Macaca mulatta: one gene and its partners. The protein of the gene in region 3 interacts with the protein of the main gene of each other region in a pairwise test. Links are inferred from orthologs where the notes say so. Each region holds a gene or a part of one and is shown on either strand. Other genes may lie near its edges.

Region 1 (3,655 bases), on a different chromosome or scaffold from region 3:
CATACCTCATTTAACTCTCCTAGATTCACAGGTGGCTTAAGTTGTTTATAATACCATCTGTCATGAGGAAATGATAGCCATTCATTCATTCATTCATTCTGTTTATTGAATGGCTGCTCTGTTCTAGGCTTTGTCCTTCTTTTTTTTTTTTTGAGACAGAGTTTCACTCTTGTCCAGGCTGGAGTGCAATGGCGCGATCTTGGCTTACTGCAACCCCTGCCTCCCAGGTTCAAGCGATTCTCCTCCCTCAGACTCTTGAGTAGCTGGGATTACAGGCATGCACCACCATGCCTGGCTAATTTCTTGTATTTTTAGTAGAGACAGGATTTCTCCATGTTGGTCAGGCTGGTCTTGAACTCCTGACCTCAGGTGATCTGCCCACCTCAGCCTCCCAAAGTGCTGGGATTACAGATGTGAGCCACCGTGCCCGGCCTAGGCTTTGTACTTCTAACACACCGTGGTTACCTGACCTTAGGCTGTTCTTTTCTAAAGCACTATTTCTGTGACATCAAATTAATTATCAACTGAAAAATACATATTGAAATATATGACAACATACAAAATTTACTCATGTCTAGCCACAAAGGGCCAAGAAAGCAGTGTCTTTTGACATTTTTATACTTATAAGAAGTTAGATCTCCCTCAAACCCTTTTACTGTGAGGGCTGAATCCTGAAACCCATGAAATCTTTGGAAAGCCATGGTTTAAAAATATCCTGTTTTTAAAGTATGTACAGAAAATACTGCTCTAGATGAGCCAGATAAAGTGCTGTTACATCAGGGTATCTCAGCCTCAGCTCTGTTGACATTCTGTAACTGACTTCAGTTTCTGCCACACTGGCCTGTCAGTGAAATAAAACACAGAGAACACAGCATGTGGAAATCTTTTTAAAAATGTTAATCTGTCTTCCTGTGTAGACACTGGCACCCTAGGTGAAAGAAGTGAAAATTTGTTGTTGTTACTCTTTCCATAATTCTCATAGGTTTGTCCTATGTAAGGTTATTACCTAAGTGCTTTTTTGCCTACATGCTATTAAAAATGTTTGGAAATGACTTGAAAGTATTCAGAGTATATTTTAAACACTACTTTACGCTACTGTAAGGCATTTACTTTGATGTATAGATGTCATGTTATTCTGGTGATGTGTTTTTAAAATCTTTGTTGTAAAGCCTAGTTAGGTAGTTTATATGTGATTTTTTAAAAAGCATAGCCTCTGGTACCATTTAATACCTACTATTTAAAACATGCAGTTGGAATCTTTATGTTAAAATATACAGACCTTCCAGATATTTTAAATAATACTTATCTATTATAGTGAAATTTTTGAAACAAAACATTTGATCAGTTATTCTTTGGAAGCTTCAAGTCCATTAATACGTCAACTTTTAAACATGACTGGCAAATCTCAGTATTTAAAGGGAATCTACCTCATATTTGTTGCCATTAGCTGTAGTTATTTGAGACACTTGGTAGAGATAAATATTGTAGCACAAATCCTTTTAGTAACAGTTACTTTTTAAGGACCTTTCCAACTTGACATTTTATATTTCAGGATTCTCCTGACAGACAAAATGGCAAAGATTACACTTTTCTAGACTTGAGCTTTATAACCAAAATATTTTAATATAAATTTATATATAAATATATGTATATTTATAACATATATGTTATATATGACATATATGACATAATTACATATATAATTATATATTTTTATATAAATATATATAAAAACATGTTGGTTATATATATAATTGTATGTATGTATTTCTTTTTTTTTTTTTTCTTTTGTAACGGAGTTTCTGTTGCCCAGGCTGGAGTGCAGTACCGCGATCTCAGCTCACTGCAACCTCCACCTCCCGGGTTCAAGTGATTCTCCTATCTCAGCCTCCCAAGTAACTGGGACTACAGGCGCCTGCCACCACGCCTGGCTGATTTTTGTATCTTTAGTAGAGATGGGGTTTCACCATATTGATCAGGCTGGTCTCAAACTCCTGACCTCAGGTGATCTGACCACCTTGGCCTCCCAAAGTGCTGAGATTACAGGCGTGAGCCACTGCACCTGACCTATATATTTCTTAAAAACTACTTTCTTTTGATGACAAATTAGAAAAGTAGTTAGCTGAATGAAGGTACAAATTCATTTTAATTGTAATATTAAATGGGAATTTTTCTCTTTTCTTTCCTTTTTTTAGAGACAGGGTCTCCCTATGTTACCCAGCCTGGCCTCGAACTCCTGGGCTCAAGCAGCCCTCCTGCCTTGTCCTCCCAAAGTGCTGGGATCACAGGTGTGAGCCACCACACCTGGCCTTAAATGGGAATTTTAAATGGTAGAAGAATGGTGTTTGTAAGGAAAAACATCTGAGAGAATGGAGAAGACCAGGAAGCTGGACTCTCCCTGTCTGCTTCTCCACTCTTCCTCTTGAGTGATGTAGTTAGCTGGATGCTAAGGAGTAGGAACACTCCATGGGCTCTATGAATCTCAAACAGTTATTTTCAGGTGTTTATAAGCTTTTCCTAGCATATTGTCCCATGACGAATTCAGCATAGAAAATAAGGGTAACCTGAGAAAGAAGCAATGGTAATAAATAGACCCAGAGTATATTCTTCCAGTAGGGGATTATTAAAAATAAATCTTGAAATTCTCTAATATTTCTTTTCTTTTTCTGTTAAGTTGCTATAGCCCAAGGTGGAACAATCCAGATTTCTAACCCAGGATCTGATGGTGTTCAGGGACTGCAGGCATTAACAATGACAAATTCAGGAGCTCCTCCACCAGGTGCTACAATTGTACAGTATGCAGCACAATCAGCTGATGGCACACAGCAGTTCTTTGTCCCAGGCAGCCAGGTTGTTGTTCAAGGTATATTTTATTAATCTAATACATTTAGAATACCTATGGATTACTATATCACACCACTGAGTGGTGATTTTATAGTTTTCTGAAATATATCAAAGGTAGATGGGGGGGGGTTGGGACGCACTTAAAAACGCTTACAAAAGAAATATTTTAATACATTAAATAGCAAATTAAGTTTTATCATTTTTCACCTTTTAGCAGGTTTTACTGGCTCTGGAGAAAGGCCAGATTCAGAGTAGCATGACAGAAAAAGAGAGAGAGAAACATGAATGAATTTTTTGTTTTGTTTTGTTTTGTTTTTGAGATGGACTCTCACTCTGGTGCCCAGGCCGGAGTGCAGTAGTGTGATCTCGGCTCACTGCAACCTCTGCCTCCTGGGTTCAAGTGATTCTTCTGCCTCAGCTTCCCAAGGATCTGGGATTACAGACATGTGCCACCACGCCTGGCTAATTTTTGTATTTTTAGTAGAGACGGGGTTTCACCACGTTGGGCAGGCTGGTCTTGAACTCCTGACCTCAAGTGAAGGCCTCAGCCTCCTAAAGTGCTGGGATTACAGGCATGATCCACCGTGCCCAGCCACATGAATGAATTTTTAAATTAAGTAAATATCCTTCCTTTGGGGATTGCAAATGTTGTACCTAATAGATTTATATTACCTAATCTGTGACAATTTAAGTATTCAGGCTATGATGCCCCAAATTTGAGTTTTTCCCCAGCTGTTACTTTCAAGTCTAATTTCTAGGTAATTCATTTCAAAACAAATGCTGACTTTGGGTTTTTTTGTTTTTTGTTTGT
Region 2 (3,655 bases), on a different chromosome or scaffold from region 3:
GTCAAAGGCTCTTTACTCTCACTGGAAACTGGTCATCACACCAGGCCTGGAAGAACAGAGAGAGACCCTCGCACTTATTACTCTAACTTTTTAGTTTGTTGAGAAGAAAACAAGTCCAGAAAGGTTACGGGACTTCTCTGGGGTCACAGAGCTAGTTTCGTCATAAGGGCAGCAGACAGGCATGCAGTAACTCCAGTAATGACTCCACAGGTAATGGAACAGCAAGTGACATTTATTTTCTTCTTTGTACTTTGCTGCTTTTTGTATGTGTTGCTTTTTATAATTTTGTATGCATTACTTTTAGAATTAAAATAACTCCTTGTTCATTTTTAAAATATCACCATCAAGCTGGGTGCAGTGGCTCACGCCTATAATCCCAGCACTTTGGGAGGCCGAGGTGAGTAGATCACCTGAGGTCAGGAGTTCGAGACCAGCCTGGCCAACATGGTGAAACCCCTGTCTCTACTGAAAATAGAAAAATTAGCCGGTCATGGTGGCAGGCGCCTGTAATCCCAGCTACTCGGGAGGCTGAGGCAGGAGAATCGCTTGAATCCAGGAGACAGAGGTTGCAGTGAGTCAAGATCATGCCACTGTACTCCAGCCTGGCGACAGAGCAAAACTCTGTCTTAAATAAACAAATAAATAAATAAAGACATCACAATCAATCAACTGCAATGACAGGCCTTATGCAAGTCACAATTTTTGCATTCAGACAGGTAGAGTTAGCACAAGCCATGGTCGGTACACATCAAGTCAGATGATCCTAGAAGTCTTTCTTTTAAATAAAAATAAGGAGAAATTGGAAAGACATACACATCAACAATTTAAAAGCTGCTACAACCAGTAGGATTGTAGAAAATTTTTATTTCTTCTACTTTCTTGACTATCCTGTTAAACTTTATTAGATGTATACTTTTGAGATGAGGAAAGTACTTTAAACCCACAATGAATGCAAACATGCGTGACACACCAAGGTACCTGCAGCTGTGCACACCTTCTCCTGGGTCCAGACTGCAGGCTTTGTACTGGGCAGGCCAAGGAGCTCTGCGCACAGTAGGCTTTTAACAAATACTCAAGAAATCATAGTTCTCAGGCATTTAAGGAACAGAGATGGAACAAAATCAAGATTCGAAATTATTTCTCTAAGCTTTTTTTGGGCCACGGTCTATAAAGAGAGATTTATTGGGGAAGTAGGCTGTCAGAACTTTAATGGTTCTGAAATCACTGGAAATGATGTAACTGGAACAGTTTTCTTTTACAAGATTACAGTGTATGTTTTCTAAAGAAACTGTCATTTGCCTTCTAAACTAGAAACAGGGATTTGTAAAATAATGTGCAGTGATCGTGTGGAAAACTAACCAACAGCACTCCTGAAATGCTGCCTTCATGTTCCCCTGGGACTGCTCACCTCACCCCAAAACTATTTCTATTGCCCTCCCCTTCCAGACTACAACTAGTCTCCACATGTAGTTTTCTCGACTAACAGAGCAAACAGATCATAGGAATGGACATCAGACTTCCTTATGAGAGTTCTGAAAATTCTCTCTTCTGGAGGAATAAATTGTCAGCCTTTCAATTCGAACATTCCTGAAAGAATAACCAGGCAACCGAAACATTCAGTGACTTAGCTGTGGTGGGCTTGTCACTTCAAACTTAACAGAACAATAAAACACATACCACTTTACAGAAAAAAAAAAGAAGACGACGAAGAAGAAGAAATCTCTTTAAAACAGTAAGTGTGGACAAAGTGTTTTCACAGATGAAGAGATGAAGTTCCTGAAATTTAAGGTTTCATTTCTCAAGGGTCTCCTTTAAACAAGTTTATTATTTCAAAGTAGACATGTGCCTTTAACATCATTTTTTAAAATTACCAGCCTTAGCAAAGGTGTAGAAAAAAACGTGTTCTCAAGCACTGTGAGTGGAAGAATTAGTAAAACATTTCTAGAGAACCTCTCAGTGTCTTAACAAAATTTTAAACACACATAGCAATTTTCCTTCTGGGAACTTCTCTATTTGCCAAGATACATATGCAAGGATCTTCCCTATAGGGTTGTGTATAAAGGAAAAATCAGACAGACTATGCCAGGAGCCCCTGAAGGAAAAAGTCAACTGTGGAGGGGGCACCTGCGAATGAATTCTGCGGAGTTGCTAACAGAGCTGACTTTCACACACAACATGGTAAGGATCCACGACGCCGCACACAGGGGATTACACACACAACATGGTAAGGATCCACGACGCCACACACAGGTGATTACACACACAACATGGTAAGGATCCACGACGCCGCACACAGGGGATTACACACACAACATGGTAAGGATCCACGACGCCACACACAGGGGATTACACACACAACATGGTAAGGATCCACGACGCCACACACAGGGGATTACACACACAACATGGTAAGGATCCACGACGCCACACACAGGGGATTACACACACAACATGGTAAGGATCCACGACGCCACACACAGGTGATTACACACACAACATGGTAAGGATCCACGACGCCACACACAGGGGATTACACACACAACATGGTAAGGATCCACGACGCCACACACAGGGGATTACACACACAACATGGTAAGGATCCACGACGCCACACACAGGGGATTACACACACATCATGGTAAGGATCCACGACGCCACACACAGGGGATTACACACACAACATGGTAAGGATCCACGACGCCACACACAGGTGATTACACACACAACATGGTAAGGATCCACGACGCCACACACAGGGGATTACACACACATCATGGTAAGGATCCACGACGCCACACACAGGGGATTACACACACATCATGGTAAGGATCCACGACGCCACACACAGGGGATTACACACACAACATGGTAAGGATCCATGACGCCACACACAGGCATGGGGCAGGGGAGAGGGTGTAGAACACACACACACACACACCCGAGCAGCAGGAGCAGAGACAGCCCTCGAGACAAAGTGTGACAGGGGCCCCCTCCAGAAGGAACATGGGGCTGAGGCTGCAGGGGCGAGGGAAGGGAGGGGCCGACAATGTTCACATCTCTAGGATTCAAACTTTTTCATATACAGCATGCATTACTTTCACTTCTGCTTAAAGAAAAGAAAATAACTGCAGCAGCTTTTGGTTTTTCAAGAGTAATGAGAATATATTTCACCTACTGTCCCACAGCTCTGTACCTGGGTGGTCAGGGCTCAGGTCTTCCACTGCAATCTGAACCACATCCGCCAGGTCGTGTTCAGACATCATCCAGAGCACAGGAGAGTGGCCGGTCAACACGCAAGAGTTCCACTCGAAGAGGGGCTGGCTTTTGGTCACCTACCAAACAGAAGCAAAGGAGGAGGAGAGGACATTAACCATCGCCACATGTGAAATGATGAAAACCACGAGCCGTGCACATGTATGCAAGAGGCCGAGAATGTCTGTGGATTTTTACATGCAGGGTTCTTCTTGCCTCAAACCACCAAAAGGTAAGTTTCTTTGAAAATTAACAAATAGTTGAAAACGCCACCCGCTGCCTCATTCCTTAACCACTGGACAAGTCACCCAGGGCGTCTCTATTTCCACTGCATTCCTCATGCCCTTCCAAAGCCACCTTCCCAACACTGGCTTGGAAACATCCTCTCCCTCAGCTCAAGTCT
Region 3 (3,655 bases):
TTCCTAAATGAATTTAATCCATGAATTCTACTTTTTAAAAGGCTGAGAAATCTTTATTTAGAATCAGATGGATAAATATTGGGCAATTTTTCTCGTGTAACTATTTTTAAGCCATATCACCTTTTGAATTTACAGCTAATGAGCTCTTAGAGTTGCTGCAGATATTGGAATGTGTTTTTGTAAATTTTTGTAATGACTGAAGCAATGGGATATCTGAGGTGGTTCCCACAACCTTTGTATCAAATTAACTAGATAGTAAAACATAGAGCCTATTTTAAGCCACCTCCTTGTTTACAAACTCAAAAATGTTATTTGTCTGTGACATACACTTGTGAAAAAATTATTCTAAATATATTTTTAATCATATAACAAATATCTTAGAAATTAAAGATATTTGATATGAAAGATATTTTCCTAGAGGAAAAAAGCATACTATTCTGAATAAGTAAATGAGAAGCATAATGGTGTGATGGAAGTAAAGCAATTTAAAATACTCCCTACTGACTTCCAATGCCCTACAGCAGACACAGCAGAATTCATGATTCCTTTGATTTGTTTGGTCTAATGATTAGCAGGCAATGCTTAAAAGATCTGAAACTTGAAAAATGTATTCACAGCAAAATAAAACTTGATATATACACCAAAGACTGTTTAATTAGAGACAAGAAACTCTGGAACATTAGAAATAGTTTGCTTGTGATTACATTCCTTTTGAAGAGGTAGGAAGGTTAAGATGAAGTCTAATATCTAAGTTTGGTTTTCACCACTGATTGATCCCAGGATTTAGAACAAGTTTCTTCTCTGAAAAAGTGGAGGCAATAATGATTTTGCACTCAGTAGGTGACAGATGAAGAATTGAAGAGGACGTTTAACTCCTTTTGAACCTTGAGGAGTTTGAATTTGAAGGGCTTGTAGTTTAAAATCATTTGCTTTCCGGTGGAAAATAAATCTTAGTGTAACAAAATAAAATCTATGGATTTTAGAGCTTAAAAGTTCTAAGAGCCTGATTGTCAGGTCGTTTTTTCTTTTTTTTAAGAAAATATTTGGGTTTTGGTTTGGGTTGAAAAAAATTGTTTAGATTGGATCATCTTGATCAAAAACATATCCAGCTTTTTAGAAAAGGACTTGTGGTTTTAAAAACTAAATAAAAAATAATCCGGTATGTCATAATCTGTCTACTACCCAATATAAATATTTTGTAAATGTTTGGTGACTTCAAATCATATCCTAAATATAGTTACAGGCTCCAATAACCTGGGAAACATTAGCACTTGGCCCAGACAGTGCTCAGCATGGATGTACTAAAGAAGCTTCACTCTTGAATTGTTATAGCATTGAAAGAGACTTTATATTGTATCCAATAAATGATTTTAAGATAATTCTCACAAATCTCATTACTGTTTTAGTCTAAGGCTTTAAGAAATGAAGTCTAAAATTGGCTAACTCAGTTGTCTCTCAAAACAGTGAGATGAATCTATTCATTTTATTTCCAGCATGATTTTAATTTCTTTAATTTTTAAGTTTTGTATATTTTTTAGAGATAGGATCTCGTTGTCACCCAGGCTGGAGTACAGTGGCTCAATCATAGCTCACTGCAGCCTTGAATTTCTGGACTCAAGTGATCCTCCTGCCTCAGCCTCCCAAGTAGCTGGGACTACAGGCACATGTCACCATACTTGGCTAATGTTTAAACTTTTTTTTTTTTTTTAAATAGAGACAGGGTCTCACTATGTTGCCCAGGCTGGTCTTGAACTCCTGATCTCAGGCAATCTTCCCACCTTGGCTTTCCAAAGTGTTGGGATTACAGACATGAGCCACCATGCCCAACCTCCAGCATGTTTTTAAATGCTGTCATTGGTAATTCTTTGGAATTCATATGTCACATGGTCATATGGCTTGATTGCTGCTTGTAAAGTCATTTTCTAAGCTAGTGTTTTGGTAGAGTAATGAAGGTCTCAGTCATAAGATTGTTTTATATCATGTTGTCATCAATTGCAATTCTCAGCCATCAACATTGTATAATTTAATAATTATAACTTAGTATAGTATATTGCTACCTCTTTAAATGAAGTACTGGTATTGGTTATGCATGTTAAACAATCACTGCATGTGTGTGTGTATGTGCATGTGTGTTCACATATGCGTGTGTAGAAAGTGGTAGTGTGACTTCCAGCTGTCCAGATATACAAACGGGCTTAAGAGTTCTCCCAAAGTGGCCCATAGATAAAAAGTACTTTGAAACCACTATACTAATTCAATGTATTTTCATGATTCAGCTTTCTTATGACAATTTATGGTGTCATTTTAAACTTATGATGCCTCAGAGATCAAGGATTTCTTTGAGAACATCCCATATATATTATATAGAATGCAGACAGGCTTCATCAAGGTGTTAGAGCTACTTTTTCACATAAAAGCTTAGAGGATAAAAAAAGAATTGGATGAAGTTTACTTCAAAAAAATCACTTTTTTTCTCTCTTAGAAAATGTTTTTTGAGTGGGAAGCCAAGTCAGAAGGCTGTACATGATCCTGGAGCTGGAGTGAAGGAACTTGCTGCCCTTAGTCTTCTTTCTGTCTTTTGTCTGCTGAACGTCCCCCATGATCTTGGCACTCTCTTGAGCTGATTGCTCTACTCTTAGGAAATACAAAAGCTTCAAATCAAGAAGACATTTGCATTGCTGAGAAAGAATGTGAAGAGTTAAACACCCTGTTTAACTTGGTTCCCTTAGTCACTTTGTGAGGCAAATCCATATTTCTCTGAAACAGTTAATACTGAATGGATCAAAAATTATTTTTTAAGAAACATCTGTATTCAAAGAGAGACCTGTGCTTTCTCTCAGAATATGTGAGATGTTGTATAAAAGCAGTGAATGGGCCAGGTGTGGTGGCTCATGCCTGTAATCCCAGCACTTTGAAAGGCTGAGGCAGGTGGATCACCTGAGGTCAGGAGTTTGAGACCAGCCTGACCAACATGGTGAAACCCTGTGTCCACTAAAAATACAAAAATTAGCTGGATGCAGTGGCAAGCACCTGTAATCCCAGATACTCAGAAGACTGAGGCACGAGAATCTCTTGAACCCGGGAGGCAGCGGTTGTAGTGAACTGAGATTGTACCACTGCACTCCAGCATGGGCGACAGAGTGAGAATCCATCTCAGGAAAAAAAACAAAACAAAACAGCAACAACAACAAAAAACAGTGCAATGAACTGGAATACCAAATCACTTGAGCTGTTTGGAATATTAAATTCTTACTGTGGCTGGAATTTTATGGTTAACAAAAAAAAGATGGTTATCGTCATCATGACAATTAGTGGTTTGGACATGTTGAAAGTCCAAACTACTATGGGTGTGTGATTGCAGATATAGCGTAACAATATCAGTTCATTCCAAATATATGATACAGCTAAAAAGAAATGGTCTGAGTTTCCATAAGCTTCACCCTCTGTAGAAAATTACCTTCTTACAAAAGTTGCAGTAGTGAGCAAACTCCTTCTCAAAACACGGCACACAAAAATTGCCACTCTCTTTGGAGATCAAAGGCTTTGTCCCTATAGGTTGTCGGCAATTCTCACACACAAAACAGGTTTCATGCCAGTAGTTTCCTTTAAATTCCATTTTGCGGGAACCTGTACTCCAAAATTAAGGACCTGTTAG

Evidence for each region.
Region 1: the proteins of FHL5 (region 3) and CREM interact in a two-hybrid assay, tested with the Homo sapiens proteins (2 studies listed by BioGRID). The link is inferred for Macaca mulatta from reciprocal best matches to the Homo sapiens genes FHL5 and CREM.
Region 2: the proteins of FHL5 (region 3) and BANP interact in binary tests that used the Homo sapiens proteins (3 or more experiments, as listed by UniProt). The two-hybrid records come from large-scale screens. The link is inferred for Macaca mulatta from reciprocal best matches to the Homo sapiens genes FHL5 and BANP.

What each region holds. Positions count from the first base shown.
Region 1 is NC_133414.1:36,596,161-36,599,815, forward strand, and holds part of CREM (cAMP-responsive element modulator), read left to right. Parts: intron 1-2,674; coding exon 2,675-2,863; intron 2,864-3,655.
Region 2 is NC_133425.1:83,365,806-83,369,460, reverse strand, and holds part of BANP (protein BANP), read right to left. Parts: intron 3,334-3,655; exon of another isoform or gene 3,333-3,333; coding exon 3,176-3,332; exon of another isoform or gene 2,711-3,175; intron 2,251-2,710; exon of another isoform or gene 485-2,250; intron 1-484. UniProt on the Homo sapiens protein: Controls V(D)J recombination during T-cell development by repressing T-cell receptor (TCR) beta enhancer function. Binds to scaffold/matrix attachment region beta (S/MARbeta), an ATC-rich DNA sequence located upstream of the TCR beta enhancer.
Region 3 is NC_133409.1:89,284,874-89,288,528, forward strand, and holds part of FHL5 (four and a half LIM domains protein 5), read right to left. Parts: intron 3,628-3,655; coding exon 3,458-3,627; intron 1-3,457. UniProt on the Homo sapiens protein: May be involved in the regulation of spermatogenesis. Stimulates CREM transcriptional activity in a phosphorylation-independent manner.